3 linked regions of the Cricetulus griseus genome follow. The protein of the gene in region 3 interacts with the protein of the main gene of each other region in a pairwise test. Links are inferred from orthologs where the notes say so. Each region holds a gene or a part of one and is shown on either strand. Other genes may lie near its edges.

Region 1 (6,463 bases), on a different chromosome or scaffold from region 3:
CTAGATTAAGTTTACAAATTTAAGACAATTCAAATCTTTCCAAAATACCTTTATTTAAAAAAAAAAGAAACACTCAAAAAAATAAAATTAAAATAAACCAGCCACTACAAACCCTTCCCCCGCTCCCCCCTGTTAAATAGTATGGCATGGAGCTGGTAGGTTTCCACCCTATTGCACATGGTCCGGCCTGGTTATGAATCAGGAGGTTGTTGGGACTGGGGTCCTGCCAAGGAAGTGGGGCTCAGCCTGCCAGGAGGAGACCAGCCCCTCCCACTCCCTGGAGAGGCAGCCCGTCTATCACCCTTTGACAGGTCCAGTTTTATGTTCTCTGAGGCCCTAGTGGTGGCAAGGGCAGTGGGAACTGGAGGCAGAAGAAGTGTGTAAGTGAGAAATCGGACTCCCTGAAACAGAGTCTCCTTAAGGCATCTGGAAGAGATAAATTAATTCAGGAAGACGCACCTTCACGGAAGGCTGGGGGTAACCAGACATGCACACGGGCAGGGCAGTTTGTGGAATCCTGACAGGAGGAAAGGAGGCCACAGTCCACTGCTGAGAGCCTCGGCTAAACACACATACAAGGGTCACATCCAAGGACCCAGCTCAAAGAGCCTGATGCCAGGAAGGACCCCCCCATGAGTCTTAGGATCCTAGGATAATTTCCATGATGTGGTCCAATTCATTCCACTCCCAGGATCCTGGAGCACAGAAGAGGCTTCGAGGAGGCTCTGGGGGCGGGAGTGAAGAGTCCTTTTCCACCGCAGATGTGTCAATGTCCAGAAAGAAGTCATCCAGGCCAGAATCTCCCAAGTACCGGGAGCTCAGAGCTTCTAAAAACACAGGATCAGCCTGGGGCATCGTTTCATTCGGGGGACTTGGGGGAGCCACTGGATTCGGAGGGGATGCCATCTCACCCATGGATGTATCCAGCTCCCTGAGGATAGAGCCAATGGTGGTAGACAGGGAGAAATCTTCTTCACCCAGGAAGAGAGGCTCTGGGGGCAGGGCTGGAGCTGGAGCCAGGCGAATGGCAGCCTGGAGCTGCTGGAGTGTGTTGTGGATAAGGACATGCCTGCGGAGGCTGGGTGCTCTGGGGCCCAGGCTGCGCTGGACTTTGTCCAGAGAGATTCGGAGCAGGGCTTGCTGGTAGCTTCGAAGACCAGCTGGACTCCAGGCCCAGTTCTCATCCTCCTCCTCCTCCTCCTCTTCCAAATCAGAATGTTTCCTCTTTAAGCCTCCCATGTCCTGTGGAAAAGAGTCACATCAGACACATTTGCTTTTTTTGTTTGCTTGCTTTTTTGTTTGTTTAAGACAGTTTGTTTTCTGTGCCATGGCAGTCCTGGAACTCAATCTGTAAGACCAGGCTGGCCTCGAATTCAGAGATCCACCCAGCCCTCACAGTACTGGAATTAAAGGCATGAGACAGCCATGCCTTTGGATACCTTTGGATCCCACTTTTTCAAGCAAGACTGTATAGTTACGGGAGGGTTGGTTGGTTCCTTTGATCAGAACCTCTACTTAAAAGTGCATATAGTCAGACTCCTACAAGGCTAAGAATGGTGAATAAATGTATGCTATTTGATTAAAAGAACAAGATTCAGGGCTGGAGAGACGGCTCAGTGGTTAAGAGCACCGACTGCCCTTCCAGAGCACTCGGGTTCAATTCCCAGCACCCACAGGGCAGCTCACAACTCTCTGTAACTCCAAGATCTATCTGACACCTTCAGACACAGACATACATGCAGGCAAAACAACAATGTATATTAAAACAAGATGCAAGTAGGGTAGCACAGAGTGATCAGTGAGAAAGAGAATGTGTGTGTGTGTGTGTGTGCGTGCGTGCGTGCGTGCGTGCGTGCGTGAGTGTGTGTGTGTGTGTGTGTGTAAGAGCATTTAGGAGGCAGAAAAGTTCAGGAGTTCAAGGTCATCCTTGGCTAGATAGCATCTCAAATATAAAAGGTATGGCTGAGTGGTTAAGAACACCAGCTGCTCTTCCGGAGGACCTGAGTTTGATTTCTAGCACCAACGTGATGGTTCTGAGCTGTCTAAAACTCCAGTTTTAGAGGACCTATGCCTCCACTTTAGGGGATCTGCCACAAGTGGTGTCTATACATACATGCAAGTAAAATACTCATACACCTAAAATTAAAAACATAAAAATAAACAGAAAAAAAATTGCCAATGCTGTCCCATGCCATTAATTTCATCACCAGGAGGCAGAGGCAGGTAGAGTTTTGTGAGTTCAAGACCACCCTAGTCAAAAAATAAATAAATAAAAATAAAGACCACCCTAGTCCACGTATCCAATCTTAGGGTAAGCAGAGTCTCATGGTCAGATGGCCCTCTCTCAGAAAAACAAAAAGCCCCCAAACAAATCACCAAACACTTGAATATCACTTGGCTTGAATATCACTTATTAGCCTGCGGCAGTCACGATGTTAAAATTACACTCTGACGAGCAATTTCAGCATTTGCAAAGTGAGGATCTTAACTCTGATCTCAATGGATCTTGCACTGTTCTCCAGCAATACTTTTATTATCTTTTTTTTTTTTTCCCTAACAAGTCACAGGACAGCCAAGTATGGAGTACAGAGCCACAGACCGAAAGCACATTTGAGCTCTGCGTTTGAACTGTGATCTTGGCAAGAGGCATGGCCATATCTCTGGACCTTAGATTTGTTGTTTTGTTTTTGTTTCTTTTCAGACAAGGTTTCTCTGTGTAGCCCTGGAACCTCCCCTGTAGGTCAGGTTGGCCTAGAACTCATATCCTACCGCCTTTCTTTTCCAAATGCTGGGACGTGCAACCCCATGCCCAACTGAGGGTGTGTGTGTGTGTGTGTGTGTGTGTGTGTGTGTGTGTGTGTGTGTGTGTGTGTGTGTGTGTGTGATTTTCTTCTTTTTACAAGGATATTTCTGTCCATATACGTTTCCGACACCAAGACCAGGAGCTTTCACAAGAGAGGGAGCATTTACCAAACTTGCATTCCTCAACCGGATAGAACTGAACCAACACCAAGCTGTGCCCTCCATACAGTCCTTTCTCATAGGCACCGCCCTTCCCTGGATCTCTAGATCAGATCCAAGAACACCCCAATATGTCCTCAGGGCCTTCTGGGAGCTGTGGACCCAGAGACCACAGGCAGAGCCGCTGCTGTCACTCTCGAACTACAATCCCCAGAAGGCGCTGCGCGCTGGGGGGGCCTGGACACACCCGCCCTGCCCGAGAGCATGCTCATTGGAGCTCTGGTTGGTGGCGGGGGGAAGGGACCCGGACGCCCAGCCGCCGGGCACCGGCCGAACCCCGCCCTCTGCTGCCTTCGGGGCGGCGAATCTGAGCTCCACGCCCCTCCCCCACCCGCCTTCCACCCGAAAAGGGCTTTCTCCGGGTTCCTATCACCCCAGGAAGTTTCTGGATTCTTCCTTCGAGCGTCCTCGGGGTGCGGAGTCCCGCATCGCATCGTTCAGAGCAGGTGAACGACTGACTACGGTAGTCCGGCCGGGGGAGAGCGGGGACCTCGATTCTGAGACCTCGTCCCCAGCGTCCCCCCGTTCGTGGCTCGACTTTGAAATGACTTCCCCCCGGCTTTACTTTGCAAGGTCGGAGGACCCCGAGCCGGAACTCCTCCCCAGGCATCATCCCCTTCTCAGACGGGCGTCTCGGAAGCCCAGCCCCGGGTGCCCCGCGTTCTTCCCGGGCTCCTCTATCTAAGGGGTTGCGGCGGCAGCCCTGGAACTCTCACTCGCTCCCCAGAACGCCGAGCCACTCCGCACTCTGCCCACCCGGGGACACCCAAGCCGTCGCCCCGCTCCAAAGTTCCTCCTCCGGTTCCCCTCGGTCCTCCAGCTCCATCCTGCCTCCCCTCCGGTGCTGATGCTGGGATCCGGCTTCAGCCACACCAATCCGCCCGGGTCCCTACCCCGCTTCCGCCCACCCCACCCCGGGGCGCGCCCCCTCCTCCTCCCCCTCCTCCCCCTCCTGCAACTTCAGCAAACCCCACCCAGGCGGCCACTGATCAATCACCTCGGTCGCCACGGTCGCCTCGACTGCAAACCTCCGGCAACCCCGCGCTGGGCGCCGCGTCCCACCAGAGCTGGCCAGGAGTCAGGCTCACTTTCCCCGGGGCCTCCGGGTCTGGCCGTGGGAGGGGGGCCGGGGGGCCGGGGGCGGGGAGACGCTCGGCTCCGCCCCGCAGGCCATAGCGAGCCACGATTGGTTGGAACCCTGCCCGCCGTGGGGCGCCATTGGCTAGGAGGAGCCACGGGCGCTAGGCTCCGCCCCCCTCCAGGGCCGGGTCCCGTTTAAGCTGGCGACTAACAGGGGGCGGGGCGGGCCAGCACGGTGGCGGAGGGTGGCGCCGGCCGTGCGCACGGCTTCTTTGCACCCCGCTGTGTTTCTTGCTCCTCTGTCTCTCCGCAGGTCGCTTACACACCCGGGCCAGACCCCAGTGCGGGGCCACACCGGGTGACACCACACTCCCCTCCCTCCCTCCCTTGCGGTTTTGCAGGCTGGGCAAACCCGCGGAGGCCACGCCCCCGCCCCGGCTAAGCGGAGGGGGGGAGGGAGTGACGCACTAAATATCAGCCAATCGCGTATTGCGGCTTGCGTTACCTGGACGACCGCAGCCCCGCCCCTTGGCAGGCTTCGCTCTGCCTCCCCCAGCTCCCCAGCCGTTTTGTAGGCGCAGTCGGTGCTTAATCTTGAGGGGTCCGCTGCCCGTTTGGTGGGAGCTCCTGGATCCCAGGCTGCCCCATGGTTTCGAAATCATGTTGCCCGCCTCTTGCTGCTCACTCTTCATCGCTCCGCGCAACTCTCGGGACAAACTCAAATTTATCTTTTGGGTTTGGGCACTGGACTTGAGCGCTGTAGTAGGACTGAGCTACATAGCCCCTAAGATTTTTCAGTTTGTACTTATTTTGTGACATGGTCTCAGAGTGACGGGTGAGCTTGCCCTATCACGATCTGGCCTGGGGTGCCTTCCTTCCTGTTCCCCAGGACTCATTTTCAGGTTTCGTTTTGTTTTGAGACAGTCGTGTGCAAGCTCCCGGCTCGTGTTGTAGACAGTGCTGGCCTTGAAATTCTAATTCCCTTGCTCCCATCGCCTCAGTTCTGGCTGGGGTTACAGGTGTGCCCCTCCAGCCCCAGAAAATTCCCCCCTTTGTTTCTTTCTTTTCTTTTTTTTTTTTTTTTTTTTTTTTTGGTGTTGGGGAGGGAACACAGCGCCGACCTAGTGCCAAAGCACTCACTCTACTTCTGAGCTACGTCTCCAGACATTTTTTTGGTTGTTTCCTGAAACAGGCTCTTGCTATGTATTTAGCCTAAGCTACCCTGGCATTCTCTACCCTCCTGTTTTAGTCTTCAAGCGCTAGGATTTAGGCATTCACCATCTTGTCTGGCTTGCTATCAGTGTTTCTAAACTGGCTCTAATACCTTCTAAGAAATAAATATGGGACTTACCTGATCTAAAGAGTTTACCTGATCTAAAGAGTCCAAAGCAAGGCAAGTCCATAGCAAACTCTCAGCACTGAGACCGCAAAACTCTGAATCTGTGGTCTTTCTTTCTTTCTTTCTTTCTTTCTTTCTTTCTTTCTTTCTTTCTTTCTTTCTTTCTCTCTCTCTCTCTCTCTCTCCCTCCCTCCCTCCCTCTCTCTCTCTCTTTCTTTTTCTTTTTTTTTATGCTTTTTGAGTCACGGTTTCTCTGTGTAGCCCTGACTGCCTGGCTGTCCTGGAACTCACTCTGTAGACCAAGCTGGCCTCAGAGATCCACTTGCCTCTGCCTACCAAGTGCTGGGATTAAAGGCTTGTGGCACCATCGCCATCCAGGTGGTTTTGCTTTTTTTTTTTTTTTTTAATTATTGTATGTGTTTTTGTGTTTTGCCTGCATGTGTGTGTGAGGGTCTCAGAAGCCCTGGAACTGGAGTTACAGACAGGTGTGTAATGCTGTGCTTTTAAATGCTGAGCCCTCTCTCCAGCCCCTGGTTTTGCTTTTTTTTTTAAGTTTTATGTGAGCATTTTATTGGAATGTATGTATGTGCACCATGTACATGCCTGGTGCCAGCCGAAGTGAGAAGGCATCAGATCCCCTGGGGTTAGAGTTATTGATAGTTATGAGTTACCATGTAGGATGTGGGAACCTAACCTGGACCCTGTGCAAGAGCAACAGGGGCTCTCAATCATGGAACCATCTCTTTGATTTTGCTTCTGAGTCAGTGTCTCTCCCATAGCTCAGGAACTTCCTACTTATTTTTAAAATATTGTATTTGTTTATATTGGGTTTATGTGTACCATAACAGGCATGTAGAGGTCAGAGGACAATTTGAGGGAGTCCGACCACGTGAGAGCTAAGGATCCAACTCAGGTCGTCAGGCTTGGTGGCAAGTGCCTTTACTCACTGAACTACCTCTACAGCCCTAGAACTCTATCCTCATACGTACTTGACCTTGAGCTTCTGATCCTTCAAGCCACCAC
Region 2 (6,300 bases), on a different chromosome or scaffold from region 3:
CTGCAGGCCAGAAGAGGACACCAGATCTCATAACTGATGGTTGTGAGCCACCATGTGGTTACTGGGAATTGAATTCAGGACCTCTGGAAGAGCAGTCAGTGCTCTAAACCTCTGAACCATCTCTCCAGCTGAGCTCTCCAGCCCCTCTACTTTATTTTTATTTGACTTTTTTGAGACAAGGTCTTGCTATATATCTCTGTTCCTAAACTTACTTTATAGCCTAGGCTGACCTGAGGCTGCTTGATCCTCCTGCCTCTGCTTCCTGGGGGGCTAGGATTACAGGACGTACCATTGCCCTGGTACACCTACTTTTTGTATGGCTACAAAACACAAAATGTATAAAACTAGAAACTAACCTATTGTTAAAAATTCTCTCATTGATTTTTTTCATTATGTTAGCTTGAGCTACCCTTTTTACTGAAACAATATAATTTTTTCCAATCAGGACTGTTGGGTTCTAGGAAAACCAATAGGGTGTGACTCTACTCAAGCAGAAAGCACAAGCTAGGGATAGACGTGACAACATTATCCCACTACCTGTAAAACCCGTCCTTCAGTCACCAGCCAGCCTACCAGTCAGAGCCAGGAAAATGTGCACGTACTGTCCCAGGACATCTGTCCGATGTCTGCTTCCTGCTCTTGCTCCCTATAGCGTCCTCAGTTTCTGAATGATAGGTAGTAGAGGGAAGGACAGATAAAACAGTAACTAGGCAATGGTAAGTGCCACACCGCTATTTCTCCAACATGGTCGCATGGACTTACCCAGTTCTCCTCTATTACCCCAACATTGTATTTATCATCCCTTCCTGGGATGGTGGACTGCTTCTGCTCAGCATAAAATTCCTGGAGAGCTGCTAAGGCGTGGGAAGAAAGCTGGGGTATATCATCATCTTCTGAATCACTCATTTCACAAATCCTCTACAACCTGCAGAGCAAGAATATATGTTGCACGGCCTTGTTTCTTCTGCCCACCAAATAATAATGAGAAAAATTAAACTCAAGACAATAACCCAAACAGAAGTGAATTTTTCCCCCCACTGAAACAGGGTTTCTCTGTGTATTCCTGGCAGTCCCGGAACTCGATCTACAGATGAGGCTGGCCTCAGAGATCCACTGGCCTCTGCCTCCCAAGTGCTGGGATTAATGGTGTGTGCCACCACAGCCTGTCAAGAGGTGAATTTTATACAGAAAGCATACATATTTAAAACTTTCTAGGACTGGTGGGATGGCTTAGCAGGTGAAATGACTATGCATCCCTGATAACCCGAGGTCAATCTTTGGATTCCCTGTAAAAACACACAGACATGGTGCTAGAGATGGTTCAGCAGCCAAACACTGGCCGCTCTTCCAGAGGACCTGGTTCTATGTTGAGCAACTACATGGCAGCTTACAAGTCAATAACTCCAGTCCCAGGGGACCTGATGCCTGCTTCCGGTCTTTACTGGCATCAGGCACACATGTGGTGCATGGACATACATTAAGGCAAATACTCATACACATAAAATACAAACAAATAAAATCTAAAACAAACATACAGATGAGGTGGCTTGCATATGATAGCCCAAACCCAGGGAGAGAGAGAGAGAGAGAGAGAGAGAGAGAGAGAGAGAGAGAGAGAGAGAGGAGAAGGATGCAGCAAAAATGAGAGAAACACTGAAATAAAGTAGGATAGTCAGGCTTGGGGGTGCACACCTTTATTAATCCCAGCACCTGGGAGGCAGAGGCAGGTGGATCTCTGACTTTGGCCTGGTCTACATAGCTAGCTCCAACTAGCCAAGTTATAGAGAAACACTGTCTTAAAAAAAAAAATAGTAAGACTTTGATCTCCATATGAACCTTGTGCCACACCTGTGTAACCTGCACACACAATAAACGCTAATGAAAGCTCTCGATGGGTATTGGTGACGCACGCCTTTAATCCCAGCACTCGGGAGGCAGAGGCAGGCGGATGGATCTCTGTGAGTTCGAAGCCAGCCTGGTCTCCAGAGTGACTGCCAGGATAGACTCCAAAGCTACACAGAGAAATCCTGTCTCGAAAAACAAAAACAAACAAACAAACAAACAAAACAACAACAAAAAGAGAAAGCTCTCACTTGTATTCTTTTGTCTTTCTTTCCCAGTGGTCTCTTTCTATTTCTGCCTTGTTGCGGTTCTTGTATCTGAGGGGTCTCTAGTTTTTCAGCAAGTCTTGAAGAAAAAACAAAACAAAACAAAACAAAACAAAACAAAAAACCTTGGCCACGTGGGTTCTAGGTATCAAACTCAGGGCAACAGGATTGTCCACAAGAAACTTTACCACTGAACCATCTCAGTAATTCTCATCTTTGATATGGAAGTTTTCATCTCTACAAACAGCAGGCTACTTCATAATTATACTTAATAAATCCAATCCCTTTTATTTTTATTGTGTATTTGCCTCCATGTATGTGTGTGCACCACATGAATGCCTGATGCCCACGGAGGGAACACTGTGTTACCTAGTGCCCAAAACCTTGAAAAACTTATGAGTACATAGCCTAGATGTTCTTTAACTTCTTAAACTGAAAGCTATGCCCTCATATATGAGGTTTCAAAACTAAATGTGTATGAGGGGTGTTAGCATCCGTAAAAAGTTACTTAAACATGCACAACCAACAGTTCATTGAAAACTCCCAGCACACAGGAGGCTGTTGCTTTTGGCAGTGCTCACCCGCAATGAAGCATGGCTGCAAACTACACGTCACTTCCACCACTACCTTAGGAAGTACAAATTTATCAAGTAGTCATACAGCAAAATATAAAAGTCTCCTTAAACTCATGATCCTTTCTCATAAGAAACTTTTTGTTATCCCTCACATATAGGCATATAAAATAAACAAATCAAACATTTGCTGATAGTAAGCATAAACTTTATTTTTGTATGTCTGGGTGTTTATTTACTAAGGTAGTGGTGGAAAACATAAGTTACTAACCTTTTTTTGCGGGGGGTGGGCAGGGGAAGAAATACAGAAGACTGGGTCTCATTATACAGCCCAGACTGTCCTGGAACTCACTATGTAGCTTAGGCTAGCCTGTAACTCATGACCCTGCTGCCTCAGATTCCTGAGATTACAAGTATGGGCTACCCCATATGGCTGTTTTATATTGTTTTTATAATATATAAGTGGATTTGTGAAGTTCTGTTGAAGAGATTTTCAGGCTCGAAAGGGGGCGTGGAAGTGTTATCATTAAACTGACCTGGAGACGTTCCTGGCTGGTATTCCAAATCAGTATTCTAATGGGAAAAGCCAGGAATCACTCGTCTCCTAAGAGAAACGTTTGCAAACATGTGGAAACATTTTTGGTCGTCATACCCAAGGGCATTGCTGGTAACCCATAGATGACGGCCAGCTATGATGCTGAACTTTCTATAGTTCAGAGGGCAGCACTCCACTTCAAAGAAAGATGGTTGGGTGTGGTGATGCGGGTCTGAGGACAGCACTATTGAAGCAAGAGAATCATGAGTTCGAGGTCAGCCTGGGCTACACAGAGACCATCTCAAAAATAAACCCCCACCACAACCTGAGATAAAACTTCCACGGAGAAAGCAAGCAGGCCATGAACACACAACATGGTAGGTTAGGGGACCGCCCAGGCAGCCCCGGCCTGTTTCCAGCACGTGCCCCCTTCCCGGCAGTCTTCCGCTTCCGGTTGGAGCACCATTCCGACCTAACCACCTGCGGGATGCTAGGGCCTGTTTCCGGGTCAAGATGCCCAAGTCCAGGGACCCCACAGAGCCGAGGTCGGCGTGAACCGCAAGCCCCGCCCCGTGGACAGCGAGCCCTGCCCCGTGGGCAGCGAGCCCGATTCCGTGGAGGCAAGCCCCGCCCCGTGGGCAGCGAGCCCCGCCCCGTGGGCAGCGAGCCCCGCCCCGTGGACAGCGAGCCCCGCCCCGTGGACAGCAAGCCCCGCCGAAGTCACCACTGAACGCACGCCGCCGCCACGGAATCCACCCGGAATCGCCGAAGCCCACCTAAAGCCCTTAGGTCTCTGTCGCCCCACTGCGCGCCCGCCACTCACCACTGACACATGCGCAGTTGCCTCAGTGCGCAGACGCCGTGCAAGGGACGGCCGCGTTTGCGCAGGCGCAGTCGGAAGCGGTCCTGGAGTCTAGTCCCGCCCAGTGAACCCAGGCTCCTGGTGGTCAGCTAGTTTCCCACTAGGTTTGTTTGCCCCGACGGTCTTAGAATTGAAACACGGACTGAAACAATGAAGGCTTCATAGTATTAGGGGATTCAGAAAGTCTTCCAAACCCATCAGTCTTTCAGAGCTTTGAGCGTTGAATGCACGGGGCGTTTGTGAATACATATTCTACCAGCTACACTACCTAGCGTGGTGGCTGGCACACAATAGACCGGAATTATGGCTAAGGCTCCCTTTCCTTCTGTTGTAATTTAAGAAAAGCAGTGCACGAGAGAAAGACGCCATGCGACAGGGTTCAAGCAGAGGGGATTTTTATTAGGGATAGGGATCTTAAAAAACGAAAAGGGAAGGGGAGAGACCAGCCTCCAGAGACAGGAGCAGTTGGAGAGAGGAAAGAAAGTGGGGGAGAGAGAGAGGGAGGGGAGAAAAGTTCAAACCTTTTGCTTGTTTTGTTTTGCTTATGTTTTTTCAAGACAGGAAAGCTCTCTCTGTAGATCAGGCTGGCCTCAAACTCAGAAACCTGCCTGCCTCAAACTCCCGAATGCTGGGATTAAAGTTATGATCCACCGCCCAACTAAAACCTTTTCATCTCCAATAGTTGCTGGCCACTCAGGTAATACATAATGGTTAATATTTTCCTTGTGGAATTTATTTATTATAACTTAAATGTTTTTCATAAATCATAAAAAGTAATATCAAAGGCAAACTAATCCTTATTGGAGTAAAGGTGAAATTGTTCAGTCAATCACCTAAAAGATGATTTCAAATCAATTTCAGTTCGGGAATTATTCCTTTTCCATTCAGCAATGGTGCAAAGCATACTTTGAAAGATCTCTGAAAATAGAAATAGTCAGTCCTGGTGCCCCACATCTTTAATCCCAAGACCCAGAGGAAGCAGATGAATCTCTCTAAGTTTGAGTGCAGTCTGGGCTGCACAAGTTCTTGGAGAGCAGGGCTACATATTAAGACTGTATCTCCAGTTCCAGGATATCCAGGGTTGTTACACAGAGAAACCCTGTCTCAAAAAGCCATAAATAAATAGATAAATGAATAATCTAAGCTCGAGTAATTAAGATTTTTTTTAAAGATTTTATTTATTTATTATGTACACAACATTCTGCTTCCATGTATATCTGCACACCAGAAGAGGGCACCAGATCTCATTACTGATGGTTGTGAGCCACCATGTGGTTGCTGGGAATTGAACTCAGGACCTCTGGAAGAGCAGTCGGTGCTCTTAACCTCTGAGCCATCTCTCCAGCCCGAGTAATTAAGATTTTTAACCACACAAATTAAAAATAATTAAAGTTATTAATCAAGTAAGATTTATTTGATAATAGACTAAGTCATAAATTAGTGTTGACAGGAAACTAAAGTTTGGAGATCACTTGTTGGATTTTTCCCCCCAGTAATAGCAGCAGCAGCAGCAGGTGCATTAGAATCGCTTTGCTTTCCACAAAACCCTGCAAAATTCAGATGTAGCCAATGAGACAGAATCTTGAGGTAGGGCATTTAAAAGTTGGTGGAACCTAAAAGCTTATCCCTTGTTAATGACATTATGCCCCCTCTAAATAGGTTGGACAGAGGGTGTTGCTCTCTCTTGCTTTTCAATGTCAGCTATATGAACAAACAAGAAAGCCATCACCAGACACCCATGCCTTCATCTTGGACTTCCTGGCCACCAGGACCACGAGAAACCATGCTGTTCTTTAAACTAGTCAATTCAAGTATCCTCTTGTATAGGACAAGAGGACTAAGCCAGCTGACTGAAAACAAGGTCATTTTGAAATAGAAGAGGTAAGAGTGGTATGGCTAACATTTTTAAATGTTTAAGGACTGGATATGGAGGGTTCAGTGAGTAAAAGTGCTGACCTTCATACTCTGACTGAACCCACCTGCAGTCTTGTGTGCATACACAGTATTTAGTGAATGTTAGATGTTGAACCTTTGCTAGAATATATTTACCAAGTAAAACGAATTTAGCCTTGTGGTGGCATTTTGTTTATGATGTAGCACATAAAGCTTGCCTGAAGATCAGAGTGCAAAGCTGACCACACTAGTCAACCATACAGGCCAGGCAGTGGTGGCACATACCTTTAATCACAATCACAGCAGCCACACTAGTTAGCCATAGAGGTT
Region 3 (4,843 bases):
GCAGACCTGAGCACTCTTAGTCAAAAAACTGAAATCACAAACACTATTCAGTCTGAAATATTTCAAAGATGCACAAGACATCAGAAGTGAAAAATTCCACATCGGACCTCATTGAGTAGATCTCAACCAACCGAGAAAGTCTACTAACACTATCACAAAATATTGCCTTCAGACATGCATGTAAAGTGAATAAAAAACAAACCAATATCATGTTTGGACTTGATTTCATAACACATTGTTCTCTGTATACAAATATTCTGAAATCTGAAAACTCAGAAACACTTCTTGTCATAAATATTTTGGGTAGATAATATCCATCCTGTCTAAATAAACACACTGGGGAAACCTAGAAATGCCAACACAATGTCTTAAATATGTTTCTGTTTCAAGTGAAAATATTAAGTCTCAATAGAGAATGTTTAAGATGTTTTAAACTTAAGGAAATCAAGGAAAGGCTCCATTATTTCAGAGCAAGAAGGATGACCAAATCTAAGGACTTCTAATTGGGGCCTTCAACAATGGACATTGTAATTCGGATAGGTTGAGGGATTGTTAGCTTCAGATTTTCTCCTCTCAATCCTTTTAATTATACTCTGGAAATCGTCACCAATAGGATTCACCTCATTTATGAAAGACTGTTATACTTTATTAATAGAAACTTCACTTAAAATATATTGGCAAGTATTTAGCTGTGCTCCCAACATGGAACTAGTCTTTAGCAGAGTTGAATATTTTCTATAAACTCAGAGGATGTAGCAATAATAATTAAAGGAAGAATGGCACTGTGGAAACATGAAAATACACTATCATAAAATTTCTCTAATATCTTAAGGAGAAATATAAATGAAATCAAAGTGACCCAATAAATGTGGAAAGCTGAAATCTATAGATATTAAAACAATTGTAAATCAACTAGCTAAACATCCAGTTATGGATGAATGCATAAAATGTTATATATACATATATACGCATATATGAGTATAATTGTACATACAAGTATATTCATGTATGTGTTAACACATATATATGTATATATACATAATATGTATATATACTGTTCTCATAACTAATTTGATGTCTCATGTACAATATAATATTGTTTATTACTTGTGACAGCATGTATGAACTTGATGGAATTGTGTGAAGTGAAAAGGGCTATATATAGACAAAGCTTCCTGATCTCCAACATTTGTGGAAATGAGGGAGACATGACATCAAATAAGTAGAGAGTAGAAAATTGATTACCAAAGGCTGTGAAAGGAACATGGAGGATAAAGATTGCCTTCTGAAACAAGAACATAGTTAGGAACAATATTCTGTAGTGTACTATAACAAAGTGCAGTGGGTGTACTCAGCTATACATGTTTAAGGAGATAGAAAAAGGAATTTTAAATATCCCTAAAGGTTAAAGTGATATATGTGTTAATTATGCAAGTTTGCTTACTGCATATTGTGCTTGTGTATAAAGACAAACTCTTATTTGTGTCAATTATATGTGTATATTGTGTAAGTGTATGCAAATTTATGAGAAGGGTGTTGTGTATCCTGCTCTATTGTTCTCTACCCTATTCCTTTGAGACAGGATCTCTCACTGAACCTAAACTTGGGCTGGTTTCTGGCAAATGCCTGTAATTCTCCTAATTGTACCTCTCAGAGCAGGGTTTACAAACACAGACTATGCCATTACATTTTTTGTGAGTCTTAGGGATTTGAACTAGGGTTCTCACACTTGCACTACAAATGCTCTTACCCATGGACTGAGCCAATTCCCATCCCAATAAAAAAATGTTTAAACACACACCAATTATGCTATATAATTTTATTACTTCCAAAACATTCAAATTCCACTTGGGCTGATTTCCAGTGTCTGTAATGACACTTTATATTCTTCCGTATTGGATCTGGACTCAGGTTTGGTAAAGATTTGCTCTATTAATTTTTCAACATTCCAATCTTAAACATCACATTATCTTCACAATGCTCGCACTTCCAAAAAAAAAAAAAAAAATCAAAAACTCATTACTGTCTCACTCTTTTGTAGAAAGTCCAAGCTCTCTAGCCAGTCTACCCCCTTTCACACAAAAACTCAAAGGTGCTCTAACTTGACTTCACCATCTCAGCTGCATCTTTCTACTTAAACTTGCTCCTTCCCCATCACCATCTCTTTCTAGCTCACCCAGGAGACCTGGAGATCTTTCCCATTAGTTTAGTGGTACCCTCCCTCAGACCCCAGTGGTTGGGCTTTGCATCTCAGCTCCTATCCAGCCCTACCACCCTTCTGGCTTGCCAACACGCATGCGCAGTGTCAAGTCCGCCCCGCCCGGCCGCTGCTGCGGAAGGCACAGCTCTCAGTAAAGCGCACTTCCTCTGCTGGTGTCCACTGAGGGAGTGCTGGTTCCAAGAGCTCCAAGTCGCAGCGGTCCTGCTCTGATCAGAAGGCGCAGACATGTCGGAACAAAGTAAGGACTTGAGCGACCCTAACTTTGCACCTGATGCCGCCAACTCCGAGGTGCAGGAGAGCTCTGAGATTCCGGTGGGGGTCCCTCCTCCCACATCTCCAGCCGCGATCGTCGCAGAGGCACCAGAAGCTCCTGAAGGCCCTATGGCAGCCCGGCAGGCCTCGCCGCCGCCTCCAGAAAGGTTAGAAGATATTGACCCTAAGATTCTGGAGCAGGCCATAGAGGAGGGCCGCGCCCACAATCCCGATAGCCCGGTCCGTCAGCTGCCAACACCACCCGCCCCGGCCCAGGTGGTGCAGAAGGCGCACGAGCTCATGTGGTACGTGTTGGTCAAGGACCAGAAGAGGATGGTCCTCTGGTTCCCAGACATGGTGAAAGATGTCATGGGCAGCTACAAGAAATGGTGCAGAAGCATCCTCCGGCGCACCAGCCTCATCCTTGCCAGAGTTTTTGGGCTGCACCTGAGGCTGACCAATATCCACACGATGGAGTTCGCCCTGGTCAAAGCCCTCAGCCCAGCAGAACTGGACAGAGTGGCGCTGAACAACCGTATGCCCATGACAGGCCTCCTGCTCATGATCCTGAGCCTCATCTACGTGAAGGGCCGCGGGGCCAGAGAGGGAGCCGTCTGGAATGTGCTGCACATCCTGGGACTGAGGCCCTGGAAGAAGCACTCCACCTTCGGAGACGTGAGGAAGATTATCACCGAGGAGTTCGTCCAGCAGAATTACCTGAAGTACCAGCTTGTTCCCCACAGCGATCCTCCTGAGTACGAGTTCTTCTGGGGGTCCAGAGCCAACCGTGAAATCACCAAGATGCAGATTATGGAGTTCCTGGCCAGGGTCTTTAAGAAAGATCCCCAGGCTTGGCCCTCCCGCTACCGAGAGGCTCTGGAGCAGGCCAGAGCTCTGCGGGAGGCTAATCTTGCTGCCCACTGCCCCCGCAGCAGTGTCTCTGGTGATTAGGAAGGTCCCCAGCATGTTGATAATTTCTGACCCATACTTGGGCTGTATAAGGGTGGGGTTGGGTCATTAGAGTATTCCACATTCACAGTGCAGTATTTCATGTGTAACCTTTAAGTTTTCCTTACAGTGCTTTTGTACCTTTCAATGCAATATATTCATTTGTGTTCGCTTGGAGCGTGTTAAGGATTTATGCATGTGCGTTTACAAGTAAGCAAGTGGATGCTTTCACTTCTGTGCTTTTTTGTACAAGAGATGTGCTGTGCTGAACCTGTGAAATCCATTGAGATGTTGTGTATCTATTCTTTGTATGAAAGTGATGATCTGTATCAACATAAAAGCCCAGGAGAGTTAGGAGGTGAGCAAAGCAGGCCTGACCAGAGAAAGGTCAAGGGCCCTCTTATATGAACTCAACTGGCACAGGAAGCATCCCTGTGGAATGGACTGATTTGAACTGGAATGTTCTCAGTGTAGGCACTTAGCACACCCTACCAAACATGTATACAACCCCACCATAAATAAACTTTGAAGTGAGCATTAAAGATCCTTGTGGAATAATTTCTTTGGGGGGGTATTTATTTTGTGGGAAGGGGGGTTGGGATGGGAGGGAATGAGGAAGATCTGCCCATGCACAGCATGCACAAACATGGTGTTCAACTAAAAGAGTGGAAAACCATTACCCAAGACCACTCAGGGTTACAGCTTTATTTTTCTATTTAATCAAACTGGTGACACTTCAAAGACTTTGACATTTAAGGGGTGTAATAATCAAAGAAAAGTATCTTATCACATCACATGGGGATAATTAATAACAGGTATTATGAAGTGACTTGCCCCTTCCCTGTTTTTTTTTTTTTTTTTTTTTGACGTTTTTGGTGGGCACTTAACAGAATGAAACATCGTTACCAAATCCTTTATGAGCACCTTATCCTTTATTTTATCCTCCCCCTATCCATAAGAGGTAGGAGGTTACTGAGTCAGCATGGAGGAAGAAATATGTAAAGAGTGTGGGTAATAAACTGTCCTAAAAATCATACAGGTTATATGCTGGAGCCTTGACTCTTAGCTCACCCACGGCCACCACACATATGAGCACCCTTTGCCTCCCTGCTGCATACACTAAGGATTTGATTTTTTTTAATTAATTCCAAAATCTTTTACAGGAAAACAGGCTTCTGGGTGTATAAATTCGGGAACTCAGTTCCAGAAAGAATTGTCAACCTAATCAAGTCCCTAACATGCTTCCGGGTGAAGACAAGATTTGAAACATGATCTTTCCAGAGGGATGAAGATGAGGGAAGCTTTTCTGAGAGTGGTATCAGTAAGAGTCATGACATTTATGGAATAGGGGAGTAGCTGGGTTTAAGAAGTTGCCTCCAGCCACACAGCTACATTTGTGTCTCAGGATTCTGTCGGTTACAG

Evidence for each region. The genes of interacting proteins can lie anywhere in the genome.
Region 1: the proteins of Ndn (region 3) and Sertad3 interact in a two-hybrid assay, tested with the Homo sapiens proteins (2 studies listed by BioGRID and IntAct). The link is inferred for Cricetulus griseus from reciprocal best matches to the Homo sapiens genes NDN and SERTAD3.
Region 2: the proteins of Ndn (region 3) and Eef1akmt1 interact in a two-hybrid assay, tested with the Homo sapiens proteins (2 studies listed by BioGRID and IntAct). The link is inferred for Cricetulus griseus from reciprocal best matches to the Homo sapiens genes NDN and EEF1AKMT1.

What each region holds. Positions count from the first base shown.
Region 1 is NC_048602.1:8,446,238-8,452,700, forward strand, and holds Sertad3 (SERTA domain-containing protein 3), read right to left. Parts: upstream 4,161-6,463; 5' UTR 4,019-4,160; intron 3,897-4,018; exon of another isoform or gene 3,778-3,896; intron 1,243-3,777; 5' UTR 1,240-1,242; coding exon 640-1,239; 3' UTR 29-639; downstream 1-28.
Region 2 is NW_023276807.1:212,637,010-212,643,309, forward strand, and holds the start of Eef1akmt1 (EEF1A lysine methyltransferase 1), read right to left. Parts: upstream 4,161-6,300; 5' UTR 4,039-4,160; exon of another isoform or gene 3,952-4,038; intron 3,676-3,951; exon of another isoform or gene 3,541-3,675; intron 3,516-3,540; exon of another isoform or gene 3,217-3,515; intron 3,194-3,216; exon of another isoform or gene 2,952-3,193; intron 2,188-2,951; 5' UTR 2,094-2,187; intron 926-2,093; 5' UTR 907-925; coding exon 763-906; intron 1-762. UniProt on the Homo sapiens protein: Protein N-lysine methyltransferase that selectively catalyzes the trimethylation of EEF1A at 'Lys-79'.
Region 3 is NC_048596.1:135,133,470-135,138,312, reverse strand, and holds Ndn (necdin), read left to right. Parts: upstream 1-2,446; coding exon 2,447-3,424; downstream 3,425-4,843. UniProt on the Homo sapiens protein: Growth suppressor that facilitates the entry of the cell into cell cycle arrest.